Linked DNA regions of Struthio camelus. The protein of the gene in region 1 purifies or fractionates together with the protein of each later gene. This does not show direct contact. Links are inferred from orthologs where the notes say so. Each region holds a gene or a part of one and is shown on either strand. Other genes may lie near its edges.

Region 1 (7,919 bases):
CCAGCGAGCTGACGATCGAGCCCTTTCCTTGCCTGGTATTTAAAACAAAATAGGGTTAAAATGCAGAGCAAATATTGCTTTCACAAAATTTCCCAATGTAAGAAGGCTCTTGTTTCGTAAGAGTGAATAAAAATATTGACGTTTTCTATTCTTTTGCAGCTAAAATAAGGCCTCTTCCTATTGCATAAATATGAACCTAGCTTCGTTTGGCGGTTTCATCCTGCGCCATCTGCTGGTAGAAATCCATTGCATGTGTTCTGAATTACCTCTGATATTTAATTAATTTCATATTTGTGTAATGGTTTGTTTTATAAAATTAGTGAACCAAATTAAATTAATTCAACCACAACCACATTTTATTTATAAAGAGGCTCTGCTGAAAGATGATGAGCAGAACAACTACTTTCCCTTAATAAACCTGCAACATATTCAGCGGTAATAAAATACATCTTTGCAAAAGCAACCTTTTTCTATTACTTATTTGCTGCTGTTGTTTTACCCTATCACTCTCTTCTTGCCAAGCGTGGTAGCTTCATTAAAATGTTTCTTTATGCATGAATACTATGATAGTCAATGATAATTATTTACTTTTACACATGAAAAGGATTGTAGAGCACTAGGAAAATATACTTTTTCGAAAAGGAACTGCCCGACTGTTGCAAGTTGTTTAAAGGGAACATAAGCAGTCTGAAAAGAAGAGAGTACCGACCACCCTGAAATAACTGGGGTGTTTGGCAGGGCTCCATAACTTGACTGTTTTGTTGGCTGTCTCCCCCTGGGAGCTTATAAACGCAGAGCAGCTGCCTGATGAAGAAGAGCTGCTCACAGCATGGACCACAGGCAAGCAGCTGCCTCCCCAAGCCGATGGGCAAAGGAGCAGCTACGACCTCGCCTCTCCTCCTCCCAAAGGAGCGTGGCCAGCAGCTCAGCACCACCAAGCCGCAGGCACGAGCACCCTCGACACCGATTGCGGTGCTCTTGCGCTTTCCCTGTAGGTCTCCCACGTGGACAGCGTGCCAGGTGCAGGCCTGCACATGTGGCCCCGGTGATCTTGGCACCACAGTGGGTGGTGGGAAACAGGTGTCCTGTCTCTACAGCTCGGATGCCACCACCTACTGCAGCACAGCTACAGCCTGGACCTGCAATTACACCCACCACCTTATCAAACATAACATAACATAAGGGTCTTGCAGGTTTCAGGCTTCCACTTACTTTTTAACAGGCAGCTGCTCACTGATGAAAGTACAAGCCTCAGGTGTGTGGTGGTCAGACTCTTGCGCTGTAAGATGACTGGGGTGACTACAGAGCTTCAGAGAGCAAGAAACACCAGTAACTTTGCTCTGGAGAAAAGTTTCCTTGGAAAGGAAAGCTCCTTGGCTTGTATGCTTTTCAGAATAAGTACCCCTGCTCCTGCAAAGCCTGCAGTGTTGAGCGCCTTGTCCGAAGCCCGGGACCATGGAGAAAGAAGATGGGCTGGTTTTTCTCCCTTCATTTGCTGTAACTTCCACTGAATTCAAAGGTGAGAGAAAGATGTGGCTCAGGATTAGTGCTTTCCATGGAGAATTTAGGAGAACTAGAGGTATTCTTGGCTGTCCCACAGCTATGCTGCTTAACCTCAGACAAGATGTTGTTTCACTGTCTTTGTTTCTCAAGTGAAAAATAGAATAATCACCCTATAGATAGCTGTGCGTTCAGACTGCCAGCTCAGAGGCAGAGGCTTTGTTTAAATATGGGTTGCTGCAGTGTCTAATACAAGGAGCCCCTAACCTCAGGATCGCTCTTTAGCTCCTGCTGTAATACCAGCATTAACAAGAAGTGGCCCCAAGGGTGCTCTGTTGTCTGCCTTCCCTGCTGCAATGACTCGGAATGATGAAGCAGAAGTGATTGATGTTGTCAGTGAGCCTAGCGATTTCCACAATCATCTAAAAATGTGGCTTTCAATACCCTCAGTAATTACAACCAGTGATGAAGAAAAGCAGGCTATACGTGTGTTGGTTCACAACTGAATGCGGTAATAGAAAAGATAATAATACACTTTAAATGTTTTTTAAAAGATTTAAAAAGCTTTTTTTGAAAAGAAAATTAACTATTTGAGAAGCTAGAAATTTGAAATTCCATCTATATGTTCCCATTAAGTTTGATTAAAGAGATAACTGATGTATGTTTTATGCTGATGAAGCCAGGATGAATTAAAGCAGTGTTCCCACTTTCTCCTTTCTAATGCTAATGTTTAATTACAGTATATTTACAGAAAAACACTGCTTATAAAACAGGGCCATAGAAAAAAGTATGTAAGCTCTGCAGCAGCTACTGAAGAGATGCATTAATGCAAATGCCACGTGTAGCAAGCTCTGACTATTATATGTTTGCAGGTGCTGAATAAAGTATACTGTTTTACTAGCTGCCTGTAGCAGTGGCAGCTTGGCAGAATAAAGACGACACACGTTGCCCTTGGATCGGGTGTATATTTCCAGGGTGGTCTACAAAACAACCCCTGCACTCCACTAATCCCCTCCCTCACATAAAAACCTCAGTTAATACTAATAAAAGGTATGTGACAAAACCTGTGTGCGGGGAGATGTAAATACATCTGCAACACCTGCCCACTCTTTGAACAAGACTGTTGGTTGCCACAATATTTCTTAATGAACATGACTGGTATTTTTTTAAGTACATGACACTGGCGGGTGCTTTGTGATGAAACATCAACGTGATATGATCTTATTCCTATGAATAAATATAACCTGGTGTCTGCACAGCTGTGTACACACAGAATTCATTTCTGAACTGCAAAAGTATGTTGTATACTAGCCATCCACAACCAGGAACGAATACATGTGAATAAAAAAGACCTCAGGTCTATATTTGTGTCTGTTCATAACATAGAGTTTGATATACTCGTTGCTATGCCTCAATAACAGCCAGCTGCCTGAGGCACCAAATGTAGCTGGGCTAGTAGGTTATGGGGTCTTGGCTCTTAGAGCTTTGACTGGAGCCAGGGTTTTCAGGAGGACTTAGCGCATCCAGGTACAATAATGTCAGTGCAGCAGTCAAGAGAAAAGCAAAATCTTCCTTGGCTGATGACCTCTCTTATGTTCCTCAGTTGCCTCTTTAGGGGAGGAAGATTAAATCTTAGCTCTGGGATTCTATGGTTAAGTGAAAACAAGTTTCTAGACCTTGCAGCTACAGAGGAAAGCTGGAAAACGTGACTCAAGGCACCTTATAGCTCTAAAATCAGACGATGAAGAGGAATGCATTTTTAAAATTTGTCAATTTTAAAATGTTTCTGTGGCTATTACTGCCTTCAGAAACTAGTTTTGAATGCCTCTCCTCCACCTTCACTGAAGTATCTCAGCTGAGGTCAATGGTTAGTATCACACGACTTCACCGAGTGGTGTGATACTAACAGTCTCAAAGGCATCAAGCATCTCGTTTCCTGACTTCTGAGTACTTCACTGTGTGATTTTTAAAAGTTACAAGTTAATCAGGAATGTGTAGCTCCATTCTGTTTATTTATCTGCAAAATAGTAACACAAAATTGGTTTAAATAATTAATTTTAACCACATGTAGGACTGGTTAAGTGTGTTGTGAAGAAAATTCCCTCATTCTTCTCTATGTTCTTGTTTTTATCCCTAGTCAGACCTGAAATGGTGGCATCCGTAATTCACTTCTTCCCTGAAAAAGCGAAGATTAAAATCTATCACGCGTACCAAACCCAGGAGGATGCTGTGAGACTCCTTGAAATCCTACGGTAGCAACTCTGAAAATGCAAACGGGGAAAATATTTTCCTCGAGTTTGAGCATTTTAAGTAGTACAGAACAAAGCCGAGCAGGAAATTTTCTTTCCGGAGTTGCTCAGTAGAACAACTCACTAAATACTTCAGCTTTTTAAGCCCTGTATTTTCTGAAGAAGCAACGGACCGCTTCTTTGAAGGTGTAGGTGAAATCTATTACATCAGCCTCCTGATGGCCCTTTACTAAAGCCATTTCGTTAAAGGGCAGTTAAGAAAGGGCCAGGGCCGGCTGGGGGGTTTCACCTTAAGCAAGGGCAGCGACCCGTCCACCCGCCCCTCCGGGGTCAGGAAGGAACCAGAAGGTTCCGTTCGACCCCGCTTCGCGTCCGCCGGCGCGGGCCGAAACGCCGACTTCGAGCGTCGTCAAACCGAAAATCCTGTTTTCTCTGACATGCGGTGCCCCTGCTCCTCTCACAGTTAACGTCTGGAATGACCCTTACTGAAAGGGATTAAAAGAAAGTTAACGCTTCTCTCCCTTCGCTTCGTTTATTTTGTGCGTCGGACAGCCCTTCGCGGAGCTGAATATTGGAGATATCTCTGGGAGATACACGGGTAGACACAGACTCAAGCGGGTCTTTCTTGCTCTATTTTTTTTCTGACGTTATTGACGTCATTCCTGTTCCTTAACTCCTCCGGAGCAAAGACGTACACCTGTGCCTTCGCCAGAGCTTTACAAATAAAGCTAAACAGCGGCGAAGGGGCCCGAAACTCACTCGGAGCCTCGGACCTGCCAGCCGCTTGGGCCACTGGCGTCAGGCGGAGCCGGCGGCGGTGGCAGGGCGGGCGATGGCCGGCGCGGGTCGCGGTCACGCGTGGGGCGGCCGCCACCGCCTCCCCACACCCGGTCCCGCTGCTTCCCCCCTGCTCGGCTCACACTTGCCTTTGGCGCCTAACCCGCCCCCCAGGGGGAGAAACCATTTTTCCCAACTCTCCGGGGGGGCCTCCCTGCGGCGCCGGGAGGAGCCGTCGCCCCGTCGCACTTCTCTCCGTCGTCACGCCTTGGGAAGGCCAAAGAGGTACTTTAGATGCTTCAGCAAAGGAAATGCTCGTGCTTTTCCGTGTGATGTCCCTCCTCTGGCGGAGCAGGGGCGCTTCCTCCGCCCCGCTCCACCCCCTCCCGACCGCGCTGAATGGTTCGCGCCGGGACGGGATGGGGGAGGCTCCGCCGCCATTTTGTTTGTGTGAGGGGCGAGCGCCGCGCTGCGCCGCCGAGTCGGGGGAAGCTGACGGGCCTGGAGGCGACGGCGACGACCACCGCGACCACTCGGGGCCACGACGAGCGCTCGTGCCGGGAGGAGACCGTGGGGGGCAGGCTGAGCGGCGGCAAGAGGCACCGGGGCGGCAGCCTCTCCCATCCGCCGGAGACATGTACATCAAGCAGGTAAGGCGCCGGCGGCCGAGCCGCCCGCCCTGCGCGGCGCCGGCTGGGCCCGGGCCTGTCGCGGCGCGGCCCGTCCCGCCGCCGCGGCCCGTCCCGCCTGCGGCCGGGCGGCAGGGCCAGGCCCCGGCCCGCAGCCGGAGACGTGCTACTGGGTGGCGGGCCCGAAGGCCTTTACTTGGCGATCCGCTTGCCCGGGTGGGGGGAGGCCGCCGTTCCCCTCCCCGGGAGGGGTGTGCGGCCCGTCTCCCTGCTGGGCTGGCGGCTGCCTCTGCCGCCCCGGTGCCTGCGGGCGGTTTCATTCATTGTTCGCGCGCGCTGGGGTCGGGGAGGGGAGGCGCTGTCGGAGCCAGGGTCCCCCTGCGGGCTCCGCGGGGACCCTCCGGACGGGGCGGCCCTGGTGTTCGCGGCCCTCCCGGCGGCGGTGCCCAGCACGGCGGCTGACCCTGGACCCGGGAGGATCGTCCCTACGCGGGTCTCGTAAATGGCTATCCTTAGCTGTCAGGAAGCGTCTTTCAGCTGTTAAGGATTCTGTTTGTTTGCTTGCTTGCTTTTTAATTTGTGTGTGTTTTCGTGTGAGGAAGTGTGCCTGCATTTAAGGTTTCAATTCAAAGCGTTTCTGATGGCCCCTTCTCCCGAGAGAGTTACTGCTCGTATTGGGGTGCTGCCTTGGACCACCGGACGTGGACCGTTTTGGCTGCACACCTCACCCTTGGCAAGCAAACTACAGTTAACGTTCAGTTAAAGAGAAAGTCTGTGCAGGGTCCTTAATTTTTAATGGTTGCTTTCCTAGCACTGCTTATGTATGTTCAAATAAAACTGCTAGGATTCCTGTTTCTTAGTGGACTCAAAATTAATCTGGTGTTCGGCCACTCTGCAGGTATCTTTAGTAAGAACCTTTACATTTGAAGGTGTTTTCTATGTAAAAACAGGTTTTCATAAGCTGTTTGGGTGTCGAGGAAGTGTTGCAGGTGCTTTTTTGATAGTGTTCTAGTAAGTCCCTCTGTATCATTGTAAGTGCACGCTTTAAAATGGTTGAATAAGATTTTTTGTTCTACAAACTTGAGTTGCATAAAGATAAATAGTAGTGAAAGATGTATATGGAATCATGTTAAGCGGCCCAAATTAGGGAAAACAGGGGGAACGAGTTTCATTTGGAAAAGTAAATTTAGCTGAACCATGAGCTGTACTGTTCTAGGGGCAATAGAAGAGAGCGTAACAACGTATGAATCTTAAGAAGAAAGAGGATGAAGGTGGCATTAGGAAGAAATAACTGCTGGAACCAAAATCATTCCTGAACTTTGAAAATTAAAATGATTTAAGTCTTAATTTGAGGCTATGCAAGGCAGTGCAGAAGTTATGAACGTTCAGAACATGTAGGATGGGTGATGTGAGAAGCCCTCTAGAAAAAATCCTTTTGCGGAAAAGAATGGTGTTCTCAGTCTGCTTGTACCATAGCTTTTAAGTGTTGCATGGGTATGTAGATGGCCCAAGTTTGTGCCTGCATAGTAACATCTATGAAATAATGGTTGGGGGGAGTTCAGCTTTTTGTAGAGACTTTCAGATTGCTTTGGGAATAAAGTAGATAGATTACTCCAATCCAGACAATTTTAAGGTATTAGAGGTAAACGGGAAAAATACTAGCAACTGAATTTTTACTGCTCTTTTAATTTTCTTTTGAAAACTGGTGAATGGGAAAACAGCACTGTTTGGGCAGTATAATTATTTATTTATTTTTAATAAACCAGCATGCAGTTGCTGTGGCCTAGAGCTGTTTGCAGGACCAGAGTACGAATTCTGCAGCTGTTGTTGCTTTTTGAAAGCCGCTGATGCTGAGGCAGAGCTGGCTGTTACTGTGACAAGCTCCTTTTGGAGGGTGAGGCAGGCTGGCTCCTGGGGGAAGTGTTTGTACTCACAGCCATAACGAGTGATAGTGTTCAGTTAGTGCATTGTCTTAAACTTGCTTATTGCTTGCCCCGTTAAATTCTGAAATTCTAAATTATTTCCAAACACAGTTGCTTTGGGTTTAGATGTGAATACAGTGCAGGTACTTCAGTGATTGTAATTGATGGTGATGACCAAGAAAATGGTGTTTTGCCCACAGAAAAAAGGGTCACAAAGCATCTGCAGTTACAAAAAGATTTAGGCAGGCTAAGTACTGCAGGATGTGGCAGAGACTATTTCTATTCCAAAATAAAAAATATAGCTGCTGTTACTTAGATCTGATTTATGATGGTTACGGATCAATGTTTTTCTGCCTGTTCATCTCCTTAGCTTCATATTCTAGTAGTGGAAACATTTTGCAAAGGGGGCTTAACGAGGGAAGTGCAGCATCTGGAAGGAGAGAGAAGGGCTCTTTGACTTCTGAGTAACGGTTAGTCAATACCTTTAAGTTATATTTCATTTAAAGTTTAATAAACTCAGAGTGTTGGATTTGTTGTCCGGCACGCCATTTTCACTCTTATCAGTGAAACAGTTTTAATTTACTAAAGCAAGCAGTTAGGAAGAGGCATTTTCTGTGATCATTCCCTGATTATGAGCTGTCAAATGGAGTGATGACTAAGTGACTGAGATCAAACTTCTGATGAATAAATAGGCATCTTGTTGCTCTCCCTGTCTTTTGTCTGATAAGTTTTATGGATGAAGTTATCTCCCACTGTTTGTTTAGCATATATTACCAGAACATTGCAGAATGTAAATGTGATCCTGGAAATACTTGTTTCTTGAATTGTTCAGGTGTAGAGTG
Region 2 (7,788 bases), on another chromosome or scaffold:
TGACTGGGCATATCACTTAAGAAAAGTGCATACAAAAATTAGTTGACCAAAGTATTAAGTTCCAAAATACTCAGGAAATTTACTTGCCTGAATAGGAAAAGAATCAAAGGTAAAGCTTGAGAGAGAGTTTTACGGTGTTAATGGAATAAACTACTGAAATAAAATCTGGTATTGAAGAAGAGTGACAAAACAAAACATCTTGCCTCGAGCTGACTCGAAACAGAGAAGAGCTGAACAAAGAACATACTCGAAATGGCAAAATGAGGAGATGCGAGGACGTACTGAGAAATAAGCTTACAATGGAAAACACCTTCCTAGTCGACTAAGTTATCTGGAATTTTACTATAGACAATAAACCCCAGAGGACATGCTTTTAACATTTATCATTTACTTTAATATTATAGGGGAGGAAAAAAAAAACTGCGCATCTTTCAAAAAGAGGCAGACACCTCAATAGGAATTCACTCACTTAGGCTATACGTAGTTGACCTCAGAAAATAAGTCACTAAGACAACCTAATACAAAGCACACTGAGATAAATCCCTTTTTTTAACCAAGGGGACAATCTGTCTGTATCCTTCTTTCACCTTCTCTTCTGGGCGGAAGACTGTAAAAATAAAGTTTTGCTGTTTTCAAATTTGTAAATGATGGTGTTTTACCCCCAAAAGCACACATTTGTCTTTTAGAACCAGCTATCCTAGAAACAATATCCAAATATCTGTTAGGTTACATGGGAATAACGAATACATTTTCTGGAGACAAGTCTTTTACCCAACCAAGTCAAGGACCAGTACAGGCTGAAAAGCCGTGGAAAACTAGACAATGGAAATAGAGCATAATATAATTTTTACTGGTATTGCATGAATTCAGTCAGAGCCTTTTGCCTAATGAATACCTTTCAACAAAAAGTCTCTAATGGCCAAGGCCAACGTTTTCAAAACCTGACTCTCTTGCCAAAAAAGTGAATGGGATGAAACAGTTTTGAAAATCGCACTTGGTGATTCCAGCTCCTTTTCCTATGCTTATATGTAGCTTTTGTTAAGCTTATTTGAGCTTTCCTCAAATACTTTATGTTTTGCTCCAATATATTGTTTTGCTTAAAAAAAAAAAAAAAGTTTCGCTGTGTTTATTTGACATCTGTTGCAGGGAGGGGTGTTGATTAATGCTTTTTAATCTGTAACAGAATTTGATATCTCTTCCTACTGGTTAAAGGAAACTTTTTATAGACCATAAGGTCCAAGCCACCTGAAAGTATTATTTCTAGTGTTCACCCAAGCAAAAATTTCAAGAAAGAATTGTGGTATATTGATTCCCCCCCCAACCCTTACTTAGTATATAATGTAATTAGCGCCTCTGCAGTAGAGTCTGATTTGGCAATTTTAATCAGACTGCCTGCCGGTACAGCCAGGGCTGCTAGGTGACACTTGAGATCTGAAGAGTGCGGGTAAAAATAACCTCTGTTCAACAAGACATGATGAACACCAGACAGCTGAGTCACCTTTGAAACCAATTTTGATTTTTTTGCATTAGAGGAAAATATTAAAGAGAGAGGAATAACATGCTCAAAAGTCCATCTCAAACATATCTTTAATTGACTATCCTGTCATGTAAACACTGAGCTTCCTTCAGATTGCTGTCATTAACTTTAACTTTACAGCAATACAGAGCGCTCAGTCACCTTTGAGAAACCTCAGCCTAATGTAGAGAAGCAATCTTTAAAAAAATTTCAGCTCCATTTAAAAAGTGCAATTTCTAAACACGTGTTTCCTACACAGTATCCACTCACTATTTATTAAGGTTTCCAATGTTTTCAGCAAAGTTAAAAAACGAGTAGGGCCCCAAATCTGCAACACAATACATGCATTTGTGGAGCTTGCGGATGCTTTGCAAGACAACTATAACATCATAGAAAGTTACTACGCATCAAACATTCATTTAACAACAAACTAAATAAGCTAGTGAGGAAATACGCGTTCTTTGAAGTCTAGTGACCTAACCAAAACGCCAGGAGGGAAAGTATTTCAGGAAGACTTTCACACTGATTTTCAGGTTGAACTTCTTTGAAGACTTCCTTAAAAGATCATCAACAGGAGGATAAGCAGTGATACGGTAGGCAAGCAAAACCATTGGCTTTTTCCTAGCCAAAAACATGCGAACGAGAACGTCAGCTCCTTCTGCTTTTTACTATCTCAGTACCAACCTGAAAACAAGGGTTACACAGGGAGAGCATGCCCACCCTGGAGAACCAGAAACGATTTCCCAGGCGATAGAAAAGTTCCCTAGAAAACAACAACAGAAACCCCACAGAAGCCAATACTAGCGCTGCATACAAGCTGGCGGCGACGTGCTTGTCAGAGGAGTCCTCAGCTGCGACAGAGCGCGGACACATCCCGCCATGCCGGCGGCTGCCAGCCGGGGCACCCGCAGGCTGAGGGGGCGAGGGGAGCCGGCGGCGCGGCCGGGACCCCCGGGAAGGGAAGGGGCTGCAGCCCGGGGGTGGCGAGGGAAACCTGGCTAAGGAAGAAGCCGCGGGGGGGTAGGGGGAGGGCAGGGAGGCTGAGGCCTGGGGGAAGCTGCCCCGGGGCTGGGGAGCAGCCGGGAGCGGGGGAAGAGGCAGCGGGGCGGCGGCAGAGCTGCCGCAGGGCGCTGGGAGAGGGGTAGGTCGGCAGCCGGCGGGGTGAGGGGGGGGGAAGCGGAGGCAGCCGGCGGCGGCTTCGCTGCACTCACAGGCGAGTCGTAGGAGAAGGCGCACTCCGTCTTGTAGACCCGGTCCCCTGACTTGGGCACCCGGATCGTGGGCATGTAGGGGACCAGCAGCTCGCCCAGGTCCCCGGCGGCCATCTGCGCATCGCCGCCGCCGCCGCCGAAGAGCGCGGCCCGCTGCATGTTCGCTCGCTCGGTCGCTCGCTGCCTCCGGCCGGCCGACGGCGAGCGGGCAATGGAGGCGGAGGGCAGCCGGGCCCGGGGCAGGGCAGGGCGCGGCGGTAGCGGTGGCGGCGGCGGCAGCGGCGGCGGGAGCCGGGCCTGGGGGAGGGGAAGGGGGAGGGAAGATGCTATTTTTAATCCAATGGCAGCAGGAGCGGCACCAGCTGCGGCGGCACCTCGGGGTCCCGGCGAGGGCGGGAAGGAGGGGCAGGGCGGGCGGCCCCCCGCCGCCTCCGCCCCTGCCTCTCAGGCACCTCCGGCCTCCGAGGCCGCCCGCGGGGGCGGCAGGGCCCGCCGCCGCCACCCCGGCTCCGGGGCGGCCCGGCCCCGCCCCGCGCGCCGCCGGCGACCGTTACGGGGCGCCCGGCGCTGAGGGGCCGCCGCGCCCCTCCCCCTCCCCCCCCCCAATTAGCCGTGATACGGCGTAGATTGGGTACAGGTTTTTCTCTGCGCGTACGAGCGGATTTGTCACCACCCCGCTACGGAGGGTGTTGTATTTCAGCGGAACAAGGCAGCGCCCCTGCCTGAACGGTGTATGAGTTATCTCGGCGAAGCGAAACAGCTGGTAAGGTGGAAGCGATGCCCAGGGGAGTTAAACTGCTCTGCGTGAGGCGACGGTGGGAGCCTGCGGCAGTGCCCGCGGCTGAACGCGGATGTCCGGTGCTGAGGCACAGTGTCTTAAGTCTACGGTGACCTTCTCCCACTTCTGCAGGGGTGCTCTTCTCACTGTGACAGAATACCGATAGCAGTAGAGGAAGAGGGAAGTAACTGAAAGTACCCTACTCGAAATCACGAGGTTTTTCAAACGATATCTAACTGCGTACGCCTGACAGGATTAGCAGCAGCAGGATTAAAGAAAAGACTGGTCCATTTAAAATTAAAGCCAGATAATTTAGATGAGTGGCCTTCCGGCTGTAGCTGACATTAAATCCAAGGGCTCATGGACCACCTGCAAGCAGGCAATTGAAAATAAAAGTTTGTAACACTTCACAGCAATCTGTGTACGTGTGACCTTTGCTAGGAGCACTTTTAACCTCAAAAACTAAAGGTTCAAAAGGTGGTTCTGAATTAACAACAGAGCTGAAAAACCACAGGTTCGTATCCAGCAATAAAGAAATGGGCTGCGAGCGTAAGCTAACCAGTATAGCCTCGTCTCAGCAATTTTTCAAGCAAAATCAAGTGGTGGGAAGCCTGTGAAATACCGCAAGCAGAATATGAGCTCAATGGAATGGCTTTAGACTTCCACAAGAATAGAATTTACATCAACGAATCATAACATAAGAAATCCTAAATCAATTAGAGTCTTCCTAATGTTTGGCAGTGTTAGGAAACAGCAAATGAGTGTTTACTTCAAATATTCTATGTACTATTGCTCAATATAATGAAAGTAATTAATTAGGTTTTAGCAGTCTGAAACCACAAGATGACCAGGATTTGCCAAAGAGGTTGGGCTTACTTCCTTTTTTAAAAAAAAAAAGTGGAAATTTCAGTGTGAACAGGTAATGTAGGGTCACAAACTAAGAAAGGCACAGTCTTTCCCTCTGTTACGGGATTTAAAACTAGAGGAATACTATGGCCATTAGAACCTGAGGAAACGTATCCCTCTAGTGGCAAAAGCCTGTCAGAAAAAAAGAGTAACCTATTTATTCCCAACTTTTTTTTTTCCAAAAGTGGTATAGAAAAATCACAGAATCACAGAATGGTTGCAGATGGAAGGGACCTCTGGAGATCATCTAGTCAACCCCCCCCCACTCAGGCAAAGTCACCTAGAGCACTTTGCCCAGGACCCTGTCCCAGACAGCTCTTGAATATCTCCAAGGATGGAGACTCCACCGCCTCTCTGGGCAACCTGTGCCAGTCAGTGCTCAGCCACCCTCACAGTAAAGTTTTTCCTCATGTTCAAATGAAACTTCCTGGGTTTCAGTTTGTGCCCGTTGCCTCTTGTCCTATCGCTGGGCACCACGGAGAAGAGTCTGGCCCCATCCTCTTGCTGTTTTCCCTTCAGATACTTATACACATTGATCAGATCCCCCCTCAGTCTTCTCTTCTCCAGGATGAAGAGTCCCAGCTTCCTTAGCCTTTCCTCATAGGAGAGGTGCTCCAGTCCCTTCATCATCTTAGTAGCCCTGAAAGGCTGCATACTTTTGAAAATGCATGGCAGGCACGTGTACGGATGTCCTCACATGCAGCTTAAAACAACTAATGCTATCCCAGAAGGTACTTGTTCACTGTTGTCATGTATAAAAATCATCAAGCAATTCCATTCTTACAAACGTGAAAGTAGGCAGCCTCCTCTTGAAGTGCTCTTAAGTAATTGTTTCAGATTTAAGTATGTTCTTACTTGATCTTCAGTAAAGGCCTAACTTCTGCTAACATCTGCAAACCGATTGTAACAAAATTGGTTTTGAATACGGTAATACTCTTCAGAGAAATGTAAAGTAGCAAAATGCAAAATAAGTAAAAAAGCTTGTAATACTAACTAAATTTCAAAGCTTTTTGTTTGCATCTGCAGTCCTACCGTTCCTATCTGTTTGCCTTGTTTGGTATTTTCTGTATGTAACTTCTATACCTTCACTAACATGCAGCAATTGACGAAATAGGTGTTAAAACTGTATGAGGATCATTCCTCATTTACACCATCTTTAATTTCTTATTTTATGGAAGAAACTGATAATATTAAAAAAAAAAAAACAACAGAGATAGGACTTCATACACAATATACAGCCCCTTCCAGCTAGGCAGACCAGATCATGCTAGATAATTACCAATATTCAGTATTCTGTTTATGTAACATCCTGGATCTCTATTTGCTTCGTTCCCCTTACGTATTTCTTAATTTGTTCCTGATTAACCACAGTTGGAGAGCACATTTCTACTCAACTTATATATAAACTCTTTTGTTTTGCTTTTTGATTCCAGTTCACCTTGGAAAAGAAGCCTTTAAAATACACTCAAGTGTTACCAGAGAGAGGACTGTCTTTTTCATCTGTGAAGTCTCTTATACCGTCTCTCTATATTACATACTTTGGGAGTATAAAGTTTTGAAATTTTCACCTTGAGAGTGTTATTTAGGACTTTGATTTGTACATGCTAAAAACTGCCAACAAACAGCAGAAGATGGTATCTGTTTACCTGCAGTAATATTATCCATGAAAAACATTAATCAATGTCTACCTATGCAGTTCTCTTTGGCTTGATCCTTGCTCTTCAGACTTCAAGCAACCCTTTCGTAACAACCTTCACGAAGCAGTTTCCTATTTTTCCCTTCTTCATATTACTAAGCCTGTTACAGTAAGAAAACTCTGTTGAACAGCAGTATCAATAATGTCACTACATCGCTAAAAAATTAGATATACAGCAGTTACTAGGAAAATACTTCGTTTCATATTTGCCCGCTTAGAGTCTTCCTAACAATGAAGCAAGTTCTACATGACAGACCATAGACTTTAACCTAAGAACTGCAGGATATTTTCAAGAATACATGAAAGACTTAAACTTACAAAAAGCCTTAAAGTCATAAAGACTTGAGTTTATATATACTACACACTTTTCTTAAATATTTAAGAAGTTTTCATTTGCTTTCTAGTCCTACAGCTGACAATATGGATAGTAATCGCTACAGGTTTAGGCAAGTGTTTCTGTCTTAATTCAGCCTTCTCAAAACACAGGTAGGATCTGAGGTAAAAAAAACCTAAAGCCTCATGAAAATATAAAAAGATAGTCCTCTGGACAACCACTAGGCATGCAATTCTCCAAGTCACCCGATACTCATTTTTAAAATTAAAATTATGTAACATAACGGGTAGGTACCTCTCAGTATGAGTTTTTTGAAGTGTTAATGTATTACAGAGCACTGACTTGGTTTAAACCTGCATCTATGAAGACACTTTCTGCCCCAAAGGGGGTATGTGGCTCCGTTTTAGATCCATTAGAAAAGGAAGCAGGTATTATATGAAATGTACCTCACTGAAAAAAATCAAAGTGTCAACAGAACAGAGCAACGTGGCAAGACGTTTTAGAATACCTCACTTTTTGGATGATCTAGACAAAGGGAGAAGTGTCCAGTTCAGAAAGAAGCAAAGATAAGCCTTTTTTTCTTCCCTTCCCTTTCCTTTTTTTTTTTTTTAAATAGTCTCTAAGAAAAGTCTTTTAGAAACATAGGCTGTACAGAAGGAGGCAGAAGGAGGTGGGACTGGAGAAAATGGGAAAACAGACAAGCATAAATTATGCATGATCTTAAAAATAAGAGGAAAAGTTTAAAAGTGGTGCCAAAATAACTAATGAAGGAAGAAGCTGCTTGGCTGACGCCATCAAAGAATAAGGGTATTAACAGATAGGTAAAGAAAGACACCTTTTGAGATAACACAGGGAAAACAATAGCTGACTGAATAAGATGCAAGTTTGGAACAAAGAGTGAAAGCCTGGTTTGACTCCAGGTAACGAGAAAGATAGCGCTTGTCTACAGTGACAATATTCCAAAGACCTAAAGACTTTCTTCTGATTTGGTTCATTTTCCACAAATTATCTGTCACAAGGCATCATAAAAGAAAAAAGCCTTACAGTTGTTTGTATCTTTCATTTACAACTTTAGGTAAGAGAAATCGCATGATGGATTCTAATATTATCAAGTTGTTTCACACAGATCAGGTCACAAAGCCCATTCTGTGTTGATGCTCCGGAGAAAAAGAGTAACTGTTGGCAACTGACATGAGGCCTTTTCTCTGATTAATAAGTTTAACAACTATACCCTGCACAGCTTCTTTCCAATTACTCGAACCAACAAAAACGATTTTTTTTTTAAATTTAATTCACTGAACAGCAGGATGCATATTGCATAATTCAGTCACAACTTGTTGGTAATTC
Region 3 (7,665 bases), on another chromosome or scaffold:
AGGGTAAATCAACATGAATACTTTCCTACCAAGGATGATCACGCTGCCTAACACCCTTAAAAAAAAAAAAAAAAAAAAAGCAATGAGTTTCCTCAGTTTTCCCTTTCCAGCTAGTTCCCAAAGCAGACTGAAAGCCTTCAAGATTTTGTCAGTCTTTCCAAAGCCTATTTCAGGTTACAATAATAAGATTCTGTGTTCAGGGTACAAACACCACTACTTTAGAAACTTACTGAAAGAAGTATGATACACAATCTTACCAGTTGTCAGTACCAGAACTACCTTTTTGTTCTAATAAGGAAACTTATTAAGGAAGTGCTGGGGGGGGGAGAGGGGGAAGGAGGGAGGTGGAGACTATATCAAGAAAGTAGAAGGTAAGCATTTGGGCAAAATAATATTAAAGAAAGGTAGGAAAAGGGACATTAGAATTTGTTATTTTTCCGTATCAGTTTCGCTCCATTTGTATCTTACTTTCCTCCATTCCCTACTTGGCACACTTTTATCATCCATCTTCACGTTTTCTTAGACACTGCTCCCCTGAAATTCTCCTTGTGCAACAAGTAGCCTGTACCATCTCTTCAAAACTTAGCCTTAAAGAAAACATTTAGTCCAAAACCTATAAATGAAGAACCTTTACTACATGACTCCTACATATGACCATACAACCTTTTACTCTTTTGTATGGGCTCAAATTGTGTGAGCAAAGAAAGAATCAGAGAGAATAAAGAAAAAACATAACCTGAGATCCTGATGGAGCAATGTATCCCAACAGAAAAAGCATCTCTTTTGCTCTATGGAAGGGAGCACAGCGTCCTGTTCTACAGCCAAAAATGGATAACGCCTGAGGTCATGCTCATGTTTTAATACTATACTCTTTCCAAATACTATCAACTACCGGTGTTTCTTGTATTTTTAATTACAGCTTAATAAGAATTTAGTCGACTTGCTCAATTTAACTCTATATGTAAGCTTGCTAGACACATTCTTAAAGTAATATTTATATGGCACACAAGATAAAAAGATGTTAGCATACAAATGTTACATACATATGATTTTCCATTTGAATTTGATTTACTTTTTACAATAACTAAACTGTAGTTTAGTTTTTGCCAAAACAGTTATCCAGTCTGTCCAATAAATAGTGAAGAGAACGCAAGAGACACACAGGCAATTACAGTTGTACAATAAGAACTAAAAAAAAAGCCAAAAACCAAAAAACACCCTCACCATAATAAAGTACAGCCTTACTTCAAACACAAACACAAGATGTCACGCAAGTACTAAACTACTTTCTCCTGAAAGCGTGCACTAGTGATGTAAGTGATAGACAATCAGATAAAGATAATTTAAGTGAGGTGTATGTATCACGTTCATCACTCTCAGTTTCTTTTAGAATACTCTGAGCATAAGGTAAATTCAGCTGTTTCATGTCTTTCTGAAGTATTACTTTGTACAAGCACATACAATATTTATAGCGTATCTATATTACACAGAAAATGCGCTGAGTAGAATTTCTATCAGAAATACAGAAAAATAGAAGAATTCCACTGGTTTGGAAGGAAAAAACCTGAAGGCATGCACGTCACCTTACCTCCCTCCTAAAACACAGGCTTTGACACCCATTTTTAACTATACAGGCGCTCACTTTTTAAGCATTTCATCTATGCCATCGTCAGCAAAGAGAAGTCAATTACAGCCAAAGCACCTACCCATCAAACGCAAAACAAAGACCAACATAAAAACATTTCAGCAGTTGTGTTAGGTCGGAAAATAGAATGCCTAACCAAATGATCAGAGTTCTCCGTAAGTAACCGCTCAGGAGTCAAACATGCAAGTCAGAATAAGGCTTGCACAACAAAACCCAGCTCTGTAGGAGCTGGTCTGCTGCAGTTTAATTTTCCAGCATTGCTCACCATCATTAATTGTTGATTTGTTTTGAAAAATAGATAGTGATTTATTTGCAGCGGGATGAAGTTACAGACCTAGATTCCTGACCAGAGGCTCTCAACGTAAACAATACAAAACCTATAAATTAACCACTCTTCATCTGGCAATTTAGATGTAAAATTCATAGTCCTTCGTCTAAAAGGCAGTCCCTACTCCCCCCCGTCTTTCCTTCGCGGGTGCCTTCTAACAGAGCCTGATGCAAAGAATTAAAAAAAAAAAAATCAGCCTGAATGAAACGAGCTCGCAGCAAGTGGGGACTCACCGAACCGAGGTCCTCCCGGTCCCCACCTCTTCCCGGCCGAGGATCACTGCTAAGTGCAGAGCGGGGAGAGAACGAAACGGCGGTGGGGGGGGGGGGGTCTTTGGCCAAGCCCGGGCAGCGGCGCGAGGCGGCGGCGGGAGCCCTGGGTGCAGCCCGAGCGGGGCTAGGCCAGCTGCACGGGGCAGGGAGGGGACACCCGCTGGAGCCGCGATCACCAGCGCTGGAGAACAGCCTCCCTCCCCCCGCCCGCCACTACCCCCCCCGCCAGGAGCCACGGGCGCTGAGCGCGCGACGCCGCCCGCCGGACAGCCGCGAGCGCCCCGGCCACTGGGGGGGGGGGGGTGACCCCCAGACCACAGCGCCGAGCTGGGGGCACAGCACACCCCAGCCAAGGTCACCCCCTCGCGGGGCCTCTCCGCGGGCGCGGAGGGGGGCGGCAAATTTAATTTGCGACGCCAGCCCCGGGAAAGGGGGGAGGGGAGCAGCCCCGCGAAGGGGTGGGGGGGATGGGAGGGGGCTCAAGTCCCGGGCCACGGGGAGAGCTCCCCCCCTCACCCCGCGCTTCTCCTCTTCCTCAAGCGCTGGCCGCGGAGCTCGGTCCGAGCTGGCGCCCCCCGCCCCCGCCGAGGAGCGGTGGACGGGGGGGGGGGGGTAACCGCGGCCGAGCTGCCGTGCTCCTTACCCCACTGCAGCCGCCTCGCCTCGCCTCGCTGGTCCCAGGCGGGTCCGCTCCGCGCTGCCGCTGCTCTGGGCTCGGAGAGGAGCTGCCGCCGTAGCCGCAGCCAATCGCCTCTAACCCCCTCCCCTTCCGCAGCTCGCCCCGGTCCCCCTGTCGGCTTCAAAATGGCGCCAACTCGTCTCCGGCTGCTCCAATGGAACCGCCGAGGGAAGCGAGCGAGGCCAGTGCGGGACAGCAGCGCCCCCTGCCGGCCCGCGCGGCGCCGCGCCGGCGCGGGCACGCGCCGGGACCGCCGGTCACACGGCCCGCGGCGAAACTCCGCGAAACGGCGTCCGGCCGCCGCGCCGAGCCGGCCCGCGGCGCCCCAACGCCACTCAGGGACACCCGCTGCCCTGGCGCCGCGGGCTAGGACCCCAAGCACCGCTTCCAGGCGAGGGGAGAAAGCGAGCCACGGCCGCCACCCCCCTCCATGCATACCCGTGCCCCGGGGCCCAATACAGCCCTCCCTCACTTTCCAGCAAGGGAAGCGGCGACGAACCCTACCTCCCCGGAAGACGTTCAGTAGTTACACGCCACTGTGAATCATGGCTTAAAGCGAGAAAAGAGACTTAGAAAAACTAACACGAGGTTTGCAGGCAAGCAGACGACCTTACTTCAGCAATCCTAGCAGTATAAACTGCCAACAGTTTCAGAAATCAAAGACCGTGCACAGGAGATGCAGCAAATGGCCCAAATCCAGAGAGGACTGTGCAATCAGTTGACAGATGAACTGTGGTAGATTTGCTGTTCTGCTGTGCAAATTAATGAAATAAATACTTCCCCAAGACAATATGAATTATAAAATGCTTGTTATAAAACAATGAGGAATAAAGATGCTCAGCTGTGGAGAAAGCAGAAAAAAAGTTGATGAGCAATTGCTCATCAAACCCTTTGGTTGCACTTCAGTGAGTGCAAGAGTTTCAGGGGGTATTCTGACAGGAAAATAAGAACAGAAAAGTGATGTAATTTAATCTCATTGCTACATAGAAAATGCTACATTTACGAATGAGATGTCTGAAGACAATAGATGTGTCCAAAGTGTTATGATTTAAAAGATGTGAAAGTCCTAGTCAGCAGATCTGCTGAAATACTTTCAAGGCTTTGTCTACAGTGGGATACAATCATCTTTTAAAGTGTGTGTTAGTTATAACATCTTGGCTAATATTTTAAATCTTTAAATAAATTCCTCAAGCTTTCTGCTAACACATTTAAAACAGCTTGCTTCACTTTCATCCAAATTTTAAACTCAGTTAAACATCCTCATCTTCTAACCAAATCTACATCAGTCCTATCAAGATAAAAATGCAAAAACTATTACATAGAAATGACTTTTCAGGCCCAAAACTACCCTTGTTTACATTTCTGAGAGTGAACTATTTGTCCTACTCTTCTGGAAAATGAACATACTACTGCACAGGCACAAAAAAGAAAATATTTTGTCTGGCAATTTTATATTACTGATTATCACTGGGAAGCATCCTGCACTTGCAGTCAAGGATATAATTTTTTCACATAAGTTGAACAATTTCTCTGCAATCCTCCCATTGTGCTGGCTTATCTAGATATCAGCTCTTAAGTTATGGAACACATCTCTTTTTTTAATGGAGCACTTGCACATGCGTACAGTGATATATACAAAACAGTAGACAAGCTGAATATTCATACAGCTATTGAAGTTGCAAAACCATGTGTATAATGTGAAAGTAACTATTGTGTTGCCATACTCTGTTTGCAAATATGTTTATCTTTTGCTCCCTTTTCCTGCTAGAACAGGCTACAGTAGCACTTCACACTTTCACCTCATATCAGGATGCCTAGGAATGATTTGAAAGTGAAATAAGGTGAAGTGCCTTGGTAGCAGGGCAACGGGAGGCCAGCCCCCCATTTACCGTCTGGCCTTCATTTCTTGCCTGGAGTTAGACTCTAAGATTTCAGAGGTCAACTTTCTGAGGTATTCCTCCGTTTCTCCACCCCCTCTTAATTGTGAGATAGTTAAAATACAGCACAAACATCCCCAAGATGCTTACTACAGGGATTAATGGCGTTTGGCTCTCTGCAGCTCAGCGGTAATAGCGTTCCTAACCCTCACGAGGGAGCCCTTCCGACAGCGCTTCTCTTCGTGAGAAGAAATCCGTTGCTAAACTTCAAACTGCCCTCCTGAAGCGTTACCAGAGATCCCCCTCCGGTTCGCGCGGAGGGGCGCAAAGCGTGGCGGTGGCCGCCGTTTGAGGAGTGCCGCGCGCCCCCCATGGCGGCCGCCCGAGTGGCCGTTGCTGGCGGCCGTTGGAGCGCTGAGGGGGCGCCCAACGGCCGACGCCGGCGCGAGGCTGCAGGAGGCAGCAGGGAGCCGCCGCTACCCCGCGCGTCAGCCCCGTCTGTAACCGGAGAGCCGAAATACCACCTTCTCAACAGTCATTTGTTGACTTAGTCATACGCGTTTCACCGGAGTTTCTTCAGAAAATACTTTGGGAAGTTTTAATGCTGCTGTGTGGGGACCTAAATTCTAGGTTAGGGAGGGAACAGCAAGCAGCCAGCGCCTTTCTGATCCAGTCCTAAAAAGAACTACCCTGTGTAATCTATAGAAGCAGGTTCCTGAAGGTGGACTCAGTGCCTCCCCCAAGAAACATCACATCTCACAGGGCACTGGACGACCGTAAGCAGACTCATTTTACTAGTTTTGCCCCCTTCTAGAAATACAGGCAAAAGAAATGATAAATGTATGATGTTACTTATCAATAATGTGTATAATCTTATGGAAGACTCACAATATGTACACACAATTGAATAATGTTTTGCTGAGTATGTCATACAGAGAAAGCCAGATTATGAAGACCAAAACTTTTACACAGAATTTCGTGAAGACAGTGTTCACATCGCCCTACGTTTAAGGGACAATGAACATCCCAAAGAACATCCTAGAAAACAGTACTCTCCTCATAGAAGTGCCTGTATCTCAGCTTTCTATCTGCAAAAACATGGTGCAAAAATAGCAGAGTACAATGAAAGGCAGCTCTTTACCTTAGCCAGAGTAATACACAGAACCTCCTCAAGACGGAAAATGCCCTTCTGAGACACACCAGTAGTCCGTCTAGCCTGGTTTTCAGCTGCACCATGATCTGAAATGTCATTTTCCCCAAGTGAGACTCATACCCTGCAAGTGCAAGGTATGCAATTTCCCCAAATGCAGAAAACTTGAAAGCATAATTTGTCGCACTAGGAGATTGCATTTATGCTTTTATCTGTATAAACAAGAACAATAGCAAAAGGAGATACTACTGAAGGAGACCTGCTTACTTTCTGTGCATTGTACACTCCCAGCATCCACAATTGCTGTAATAGGCATGTTGACATCTCTGGTTTGTACAAGATGTACAAACAGGGGTATCCCTGCCTATTCCATTTAGAATCCATTTTATGGACCTGTTGTCCATTGGTTTGTCTAGTCCCCTTTTGAACCTGCTGATAGTGTATATTTTCATAGCCTCCTTTGGCAGCAGATTCCAGAACAGCAAATAGCCCCCAGTTCTAGTATTCTTCATGCAACAGTTCTGCATTCACCTTATCCAGTGCCTTCCTGATCTGTAAAATTTGACCCTACGCCTCCCATCCTTGCCCTGTCGCAGTCAGAGTCCTAACCCCTTTGATCTCTCCTCCTAAGACAGCCAATCTACCCCCTTGATCATTTTAGTTATCCTTCTCCATACCTTCTTGAAATTTGCTGTGCCCTTGCAGCCCAGAACTGCACACTGTACTCACTTCAGATAAGGGTACATCAAGGCTTCCCATAGTAGCATGCTGCCCTCCCTCTTGGTCTCTGCTCTTTCTGATGACACCTAACTTTTCGTTGGCTTCTTCAGCTGCTGCTGCACTTTGAGCCAAAGATTTCAGAGGGCTTGTTAACAATACCTTCAAGATTTTTTCTGAGTTTAAATATCCAGGATTGGCAGATAATCCTATGTTTTACCTCACATTAATCTACCTCAAAGCCCACCTGCCATTTTTCTATCCATTCAGTTTTGTGAGGCTTTCTGGAGTTCTTGCCACTCGCACCACAGTTGATTACCCAGAAGAGCTTAACATCATCCAAGTATCATTCAATATGCACTCCCTTTTCCAGGTCATTGACAAAGATACTGAATAAAACAACATCTTAAAACAATAGCAGCAAACCCAAACATCTCTGGGAGACCACATTGCTGACTTTTCTCCAACTGTCAAGGTAATATCACCATCAGAAGACTGACTAAACATTTTCACTGAGTCTCCTTCCTTATTATAGTAACCCTGAGCCATTTGCAAGTGCAAATCTCTGTACATCTTTCGCCTTTTAGTCCCTCCATGTATACCAGCGCTTTCATTTGTCTTCTGAATTTAACACCTCAAATCCCCTTCTGAATACCAAGAGTGATAACTTTGCCATTCCATTTTTTCTCCCATCTAGCTTAAAGGATTAGGTCCTTTAAGCTACTCTGACACAGAAGAAGATCTCAACTCCAGTGCAGCAAACCCCATAGTCTCCTTACTGAAATCACTTCCAAAAAGAGTGTTCCATGGAAAAAGCAGAATCCAGGGGACAGGCTGTCTTTATTCTGTTATATATTATTGCTTTTTCTATAAATCTTAGCCATCTCCAGCACTTTATAAAATATATAACACAACAGAAAAAATAAAAATTTATTTCCACTACTTTGGCATGATTTTACCTTTTTTCCCCTCACAGCCTTTGCAATCTATCTCAAAT
Region 4 (7,350 bases), on another chromosome or scaffold:
ACTGCTGAAACTCTAAACGTGGCTGGGCCTGAAGGGAACTGGCTCTCAATGACTCAGACTCCAGAGCATGAATCTCCAGACCTATGCAGACACCTGGCAAGGCTTCTGCTATATGACCAGGTCCTGGTTCAGGCACTTCCACATATGAAGCCTTCTCCACTCTACAGTCTCCTCCTGCATCTGCTACACAGAACGATCCAAAGCTGGCACTGTCCAGCCAACTTTCTGCAGTATATTCTGTTCCTACCTGAAGGTCTGTTTCAAGTCCTTCAAAAGTCTGCTGTGCAAATAGGGCTGCACCCTGGTGATCCCCAGCTGCCATATCTCTGGTGACGAATCTCTCACAATTCCCAGTTCTGGTAACTCCAAATGAAGGTTTGTTGCACATTGGGATGAAGCTGAAGCACAAGAAATGTTTGGACTTCAGCACAGGCCCAAATACAGAAACAGAAAAAAGATATATTCAGGTTTGCAGAAAGCATTTGCAATAAGAGGTCACAGATGAGAAGAAAATGACTGCTGGAGCATCAGAGCACAATGTGTGCTGGAACATGAGCCAGGTTTTTCACCAAGGTGATATCGAGTTACCGGTGACCTCAGAACAGTAGAGAACACATCAGAAAGCCAGGGATCCAGGTTGGAAAAGGGCATAAAACAGTTTGTAAATTTTGCTGGCGGTCCACACACAACGCCACTCCAAAATATTTTATCACACCAAAATATGCCACAATGAAACCTAATACACTTACCAACTTACACTGATTCAAGTTGCATCATATCAATGCAACTTAAAAAAATGCAAAACAGGAATGATAGTTTGTTCATGCAGATACATCCTAAAATAATGCTAAATATCTGGGGGAATCCACTAGATCAGGTCCTAGGCTGGAAACCACATCATGCGAATCTATCAGTAGAATATTATCTACTTCATGTGTTTAAATTCACTCCCTTTTCTGAGGCCACTAGGCCAACTGAACATAGCACATACACAGCTATTACACTAAAAAAAAAAAAAACTTAATGTAAACCACAGATAGATGACCTCATCCAGATCCAGGTACATCAATGAAAAATGGCATTGCCTCCAAATTACTGTCAATATCTATTTCAACAAGACTTAACCCTATTAATTTACCTCCAGAAAGCAATACACAAGTTCACCTCACATGATTTAAAAGAAAAGACGAGAGAGCAGAGGAGAGAGAGCAGAGGAGAGAGAGCAGAGGAGAGAGAGCAGAGGAGAGAGAGCAGAGGAGAGAGAGCAGAGGAGAGAGAGAAAAGAAAAAGGTCAGCCAGCTCAGCTTAAATAGCTGTAAATGCTGGTTTTAACTAATAACATTTTTGAATGGAATGTGGATCATTTACATAAACCATCCTGCTGATAGATCAAAATCCCCAGTGGAGTCATGAGAAGAAACAGCTGGAGAGCTTAACCTCTTCCACAAGCACAGCTGGATTCAGGAGAAAACATGGCCTTATTTAATTCTGAGAGGTAGTGTAACATAACACTTAATGGCCCTACTGACATTTTTATAGTAGCAAAGCCTCTGTAGTTTAGACAAAGGCAGCAACTTCCTAAAACTCAGGATTAATAATCTACAACTTTTACTGGAGCTAACTACACATAGAAAAAGTCTATTCAAAACAGAAACATGACTGATTATTTCAGTCATTTAGTGTAGACTACAGATCAGCACACAGGGAGGAGTCAAAGACAACAGGCCATGACACACCTCAGAACTACAACCATCCTACATGCCTATTACAACATCTTCATACAGTAACCCAAGACAACATAATTCTCTTTTTTAAATTGGACAAGGTCACAGCTAATGATCCACCTACACCACACAGTGAAACAGTTGTGAATATGCCATAGATGTTCCCTAAAACCATGCCCAGGCTAACATTTTTGTCACCTCTATTGCACTTTTGCATTTGCAACACTAAGAATCTGGCTTCTCTCCCACATTAGTGCTCTCCTTAGATGAAACGTACTAGCGTTAATACAACAGAGGGAGACTTCTTAAAGAAATCGAGTGTAAACAAAGGCATGAAAAGCACAGGAAAATACCACACTAAAAAAAAAGAACACAAATGAAGAAAGCCTATAAAGGAAAGCATTCTTAAGATGTGCTTGGATGCTGTTAGATTTCCTTTGTAGGCTCTACACACGGGTATAACCTACAGCAAGACAAACTACTGCAACTTAAAAGCACTACAAACACGTGACACAAGCTAGCCCTACCCTAGTAATGGTGACTACACCCCAGGTAAAGCGGGGCTAGAACTGTCGTGATTTCAAATACTCTGGATGTCTCTGCTACTCTGTAATTTGCTTCAGGTTTGTGTCTTAAGCTTATACTCTCCAATCATATCCCAAGTCCTATTGTATAAAGCTTTTACTTCAGTAGCCAATCCTGAAGCTAGGATTTGCCACTCAGTAAAGGTGAAACGGCTGAGGAGCAACTTCATCATCATCTTTGTTCTTTTGCTTCACCTGAAACCTCTTCCAAACAACTTGCGTAGGATTTGTGCTTAAGTTCCGTATGAATTATTGTCGTATTTTAACCACAAGGTCCCACCAAAAGCCTCATAAGACTTGAGACACATACTAAACTTTGTCAAGAGAGTAAAACGTTCCCGGAGTCAGCGTTCAAATCGTTATTAGTTCGGGACAAGAGTTAAGGGCGTACTGCTCTTCAGTATGTTTTCTTCCCTCCCCTCTGAAGCCCCTACGACCTTAGGGCACTCGATTAGCAGAACTGCAGAATACGTGCAGAACATCTCCCAAAGCATACGTGAACACTACGCTGCAACTTTGGAAACGTGCTTCTTTCAGCAGTTTTAGACCGTTCAAAATAAAAGCCTTAAAGCAGTAAAAATCTTTTGATTTCGTTTTGAAGGAAACTTCGTAAACGGCCCACTTAACTCACTGGGTTCTGCTCTCTGAGAAGCAGAGTAGGGACACCGTCCTCGACACGGCTGCTCAGGGCGAGCGGCGCGGCGTTTCCCCCGGTTTCAGAGCGGCGGCTCTTTCCACAGGGGGCTCCGGGGCTGCTGGTGCCGCCGGGCGGCAACCAGCCCCCTCGGAGGCCGCTGGGGAGGAGGAGGAGGAGGAGGAGGAGGAGGAGGGAGGGAGAACGACTCGGGCGTTTCCGAGAGAAAACCGGTCGCCGCGGCCGCCGCCTACGCAGTTACAGGCCGGGCAGAGCCGCAGCGAGGCAGCGGCGGGGGCGGCGTGACCAGTTCGCCCCCCGCACGCACGCACACACGCACGCAGCGAGGGCCGGGGCAGACCCACAGCCCTTCACCGGGCCCGCGCGAGGCGGGCAGCCCAGCGGCAAGGCCGGCCCGAGGCCCCCGCGCAGCGCAGGGCCCAGCCCCAGCCCCGCCATTCACGGCCCGCGCTCCCCGGCCTGCCTCCCTCCCCCGCTGCGGGCCGGGGGCGGCGGCGCAGGGGGCGGCTCCCGCGAGCCGGGCCGGGCCCCCTCCCCGCCGAGGCAGGTGGCTGGCGACGGGCCGCCCGCAGGGCCGAGCCCCTCGGCTCGCGGGAGCACCCGCCCCGCTCCCTCCCCTCCCGTGACGCCGGGGACCGGCCTGCCGGCGCCGCCCGCGCTCGCTCGGCAGCCGCCGAGGGGCGCGGGCCGCCTCCCCGCGCCCGCCGCCGACATGGCGGGCCGCCGCCGGGCCGCGGGCTAGGCCTCGCTGGCGCCGCCGCCGGGCCGCCTCGTCCTCCGCCAGCCCCGCGCCCTATGGGGAGGAGGGGGAGGACGAGGCTCGTGCCCGGCTCCTGCCGCTTCTCGCCGGACGCGGCCGGCCTTTACCGTGTCTCGCCGTGTCCCTGGCCCTCGGCTCCCTCGCTTCTGGCGGCGGCGGCGGCTGCCGCTCGGGGAGGAGCAGGGACCGGGGAGCGGCGCGGCGGCGGCCGGCGAGAGGGGGAGCGGCGGAGCGTGCGCCGCGGGGACACAGTGCCGCTCTCCGTCCGGCCGGGGAAGAACAGCCCGGGAGGAGGCTCCGCGCCCGCTCCCGGCCCCCTCCCCTCCCTCCCTCCGCCCGCCGCGCCGCGCCGCCCAGGCCGGCCGCCGGCCGCCCGCCCCGGCCCTGGCCCCGGCCCCCGCCTCGGGGCCGCTGCCAGCCCGGCTCGGCCCGGGCGGTGGTGCAGGCGGCGGCCTCACTCTAAAGGAAGTCGTTTGGGAAGGAAAACAAGCGATTTAGGAAGGGGCGGGAGGCAGGGGAGTGAAGTCCTGCGCCATGAAAGGCAGGCCGTGTTTAGTCTGCGGGCTGGCTAATTGCCGTCCTTGTCTCTGGATGGTTGCGCTTAACCGCCCTTTTCACGTCGTTAGCGATAAAACTGGCCGCTGGCTTCGCGTCTTAATCTTTGAAAAAAGGAACTGTATGCTGCACTGCTGTGGCAGAATCTGTGTTGAGAGATAGACTTTGCTTAGAAAGGGCATGACGACAGGATGCAGGTGGGTGCAGCGGAGAACTGCAGGTCGAGGACAGCAGGGTAGTTACGGCTATCAGCCGCGTAGCGACTGGTGGGCTTTGGATCAGTAATGAAAAGGAAGGGTGTTCCGTGTCTAGTGCCGCTGCCCTGTGTTACTAGCAGTTTATAACGTGGCAGCAGAAGAGTTCTGAGCGCGGTCTAGAACGAGGCTGATTCTGGGGCAGAAACTAGCGTTTCCGCGGCCGTCACGGGATCGGCGGTGTTCGTGAAGGAGCAGGAGGAGAGCGGAGGGGTCTGGCGCCTGCCGCGGGGTGGAGGAGGGAGCGGCAGCGCCGGGCGAGAGAAGGAGTACCGCGTTAGCGGAGGGTTTCGTTAGAGAGACGTTTACTTCTGCAACAAGCAATGAGCACTTGACAGATGGACAGTCATGCAAAAGAGGGTATAATAAACAGATTTTATTTACGTGTATGAGTAATATATATATGTATAGTATCATATATAAAAAACCGGAAGAATCCTGATCAACCTTACCCATTAGCTGATTTCCAAGAACCGCACTTACATGTATAGCCATAGGCCTCCTTGAAAGCTCTGTCTCGCTGCCTGGGCCAGCCAGATAATAGGGCAGGGTCTCAACTGCTTATCTTCCTGCTTTTCACTTGGCTCCAGGAGGATGATGATTTTTTCTCACATCCCTCCTTTGTGCCTCCATTGTCTCGAGAGACCTCCCCTTCCATCTGTATTCAACCATCTCCCATCGTGGCACAATACCGCAGGAGGAAGTTAGCTGGAGATGTCACACTGCGATTTTCCTAGTGAACAGAAGCTTCTTCTCTTGTGAAAGAAGAGAATCATTTCTTCCCCAAAGGGAGTAATATTGTCTCCCATCACGATCTTCACTTGCATTGTAATTCATCCAATTCAGAGAACAAGGTGGTTTTCTCCCAGCCTAATTTCTCTTTCATTTTCCTTCGAAGAGGGAAACAAGAAGTGGCCTTTAACAGACAGCTTACACTGAAGCGCTACTTATTTAGCACCTAAGCTTACATCCTTCATCACAAGAAAGATCAGGAAAAGTCACTGCCAGTTTTGTGTCGCAGTGACTCCTGCTCCCGCAGCTGCTTCCTTTTGCAGTCTCGCTATTGTTTCACTTCACTGTCAGGGCTGACCTGTTTGCATTAGAGCTGCAACTTTAATGTGAATAAAGAACCAGAAAGTACAAAAATAATTGATAGTTTTAAGACGAACTAATTATGGGGTGGCTCACTTGTGAAACTGCAGAAGGGTGCTCAAAGTAACTTGATCACAATCCCCAACTGCCTTCCATCTGATAGCAGAGTAAGTGAAAAGCAAATCATTTTTGTCTCCAGGATTGCATGTGTTCTTGCAATACAAATAATGTTAACATTCTGAAAATGGTATTAAAAGCATTTAGTATGATTTAGGAATGAAATTGATTTAGGCATTGTTAATTTGCCAGTCACTCTGGTATTTCAGTGGTTATCTTGTAGTTATATGGTATGCTACATTTAAATAAATAAGACCAAACATTTACATTTCTAATACAATACTTAAAAGCATTCAGTCCACAGAATGTGCTGGTAGGTTTAAAAAAGAAAAAAAAAGACTCTGCTATGACTCAGTGAAGTAAAATAAGAAATTCTTCAATATACTAATATTATAAATGTCCAAAAATATGGAGGAGAACAAATATTGATCAGAATTTGTGTGTTTGGTGCCAAGTGGTGTTTTCATGCATGTACAAGGAAGCGTTTGCTTAATTTTTTCAGTATCTGGACAAGTATCAGAAACAAAATCTTTTCTCTTTAAGGGCGTGATGCTGGTAACGTGTTAATCATACGTTTGGAAAGATAGGTCATGTAAATTCCAGTCTAATGACTTTGTCTTTATATTTTTAAGTTGCCAAAAAAGAGGAAGAGAAAGGTTTTTAGCATGCTTGAATCTGATAGCCTCCATTGAACTGCATTGCTAGTGGGGTGTTGCTGCTGGCACTTCATGCATGAAAGTATGTTGTTCTTTGCCAGTTGTACACATTACAGTATTTGACACCATGAAAATGCCAGACTAATTTGGGTACTGGCAGATTTCTCACTACTTCAGTTAACACTTTAAATAGGAGGGATATTGGCATCTAGATAGTTGAAAGAACCTCTGGTACAGTGAGTGATTATAATTATCTGTATTCCTTTTTTTTATTTTCACACAACTATTTTCAAACAACACAGTAATCACCTATTATCTGTTAATTTTTTTTCATTCCTTTGTCTCTCCTTATGTCTACAGTTGGCTTGTTTTACTTGGAATGGCTTGAACATACAGCATGTAATCTGTGCTGTTTGGCACAAGTGTTTAGTCTGGTCTTCGGTGAATACTTTCATGACAGATTTTTCCATTTCAGTTTCTGCAATGCTGCCTCTTCAAATAAAAACATTTTACTGTGTTCTTGCTTATCTTATAGTTCACATTAAAATATTATTACCAAAGATGAGCCATAAAAACAAGAAAATGACAATCACTTTTACTGTTTTTGATTATATACAGCCTACTAAGACCACTCAGCAAATTTGCACCTGCTTTCTTTCTATGCAAAAACAATTTGCAGCTTAAAGTTTGAGTAACATTATGGTATATTAAGATAGACATATTTATCTTTGTCAGGTTTAAAGACAGTTTTATTTCTACTTGCAATAGCATATTGAATTTGCAATAATATATAGTATAGGAAAACATCTGAGAAATAGGGTACGTTAAAATATAAATAATGCTACCTGACAAATTTGTCACGCCTGACAAATTCATGCCTGCCTTCAGTAATCTAAAACAAGTTATCTTTCAAGGAACTTGAGGCATAATCTTCATCCTTATTGAGAGTTTCA

The links.
Region 2: the proteins of SMC3 (region 1) and USP13 purify together in Homo sapiens (affinity purification with mass spectrometry; 4 studies listed by BioGRID and IntAct, with this or other methods). This does not show direct contact. The link is inferred for Struthio camelus from reciprocal best matches to the Homo sapiens genes SMC3 and USP13.
Region 3: the proteins of SMC3 (region 1) and PDS5B purify together in Homo sapiens (co-immunoprecipitation; 7 studies listed by BioGRID and IntAct, with this or other methods). This does not show direct contact. The link is inferred for Struthio camelus from reciprocal best matches to the Homo sapiens genes SMC3 and PDS5B.
Region 4: the proteins of SMC3 (region 1) and PDS5A purify together in Homo sapiens (affinity purification with western blotting; 8 studies listed by BioGRID and IntAct, with this or other methods). This does not show direct contact. The link is inferred for Struthio camelus from reciprocal best matches to the Homo sapiens genes SMC3 and PDS5A.

Annotation. Positions count from the first base shown.
Region 1 is NC_090948.1:12,332,424-12,340,342, reverse strand, and holds the start of SMC3 (structural maintenance of chromosomes protein 3), read left to right. Parts: upstream 1-4,914; 5' UTR 4,915-4,945; coding exon 4,946-5,176; intron 5,177-7,919. UniProt on the Homo sapiens protein: Central component of cohesin, a complex required for chromosome cohesion during the cell cycle. The cohesin complex may form a large proteinaceous ring within which sister chromatids can be trapped.
Region 2 is NC_090950.1:24,654,029-24,661,816, forward strand, and holds the start of USP13 (ubiquitin carboxyl-terminal hydrolase 13), read right to left. Parts: upstream 3,007-7,788; 5' UTR 2,887-3,006; coding exon 2,728-2,886; intron 1-2,727. UniProt on the Homo sapiens protein: Deubiquitinase that mediates deubiquitination of target proteins such as BECN1, MITF, SKP2 and USP10 and is involved in various processes such as autophagy, endoplasmic reticulum-associated degradation (ERAD), cell cycle progression or DNA damage response.
Region 3 is NC_090942.1:198,627,523-198,635,187, forward strand, and holds the start of PDS5B (sister chromatid cohesion protein PDS5 homolog B), read right to left. Parts: upstream 3,018-7,665; 5' UTR 2,889-3,017; intron 2,226-2,888; exon of another isoform or gene 2,207-2,225; intron 1-2,206. UniProt on the Homo sapiens protein: Regulator of sister chromatid cohesion in mitosis which may stabilize cohesin complex association with chromatin. May couple sister chromatid cohesion during mitosis to DNA replication.
Region 4 is NC_090945.1:61,488,993-61,496,342, forward strand, and holds the start of PDS5A (sister chromatid cohesion protein PDS5 homolog A), read left to right. Parts: upstream 1-4,335; 5' UTR 4,336-4,458; coding exon 4,459-4,475; intron 4,476-7,350. UniProt on the Homo sapiens protein: Probable regulator of sister chromatid cohesion in mitosis which may stabilize cohesin complex association with chromatin. May couple sister chromatid cohesion during mitosis to DNA replication.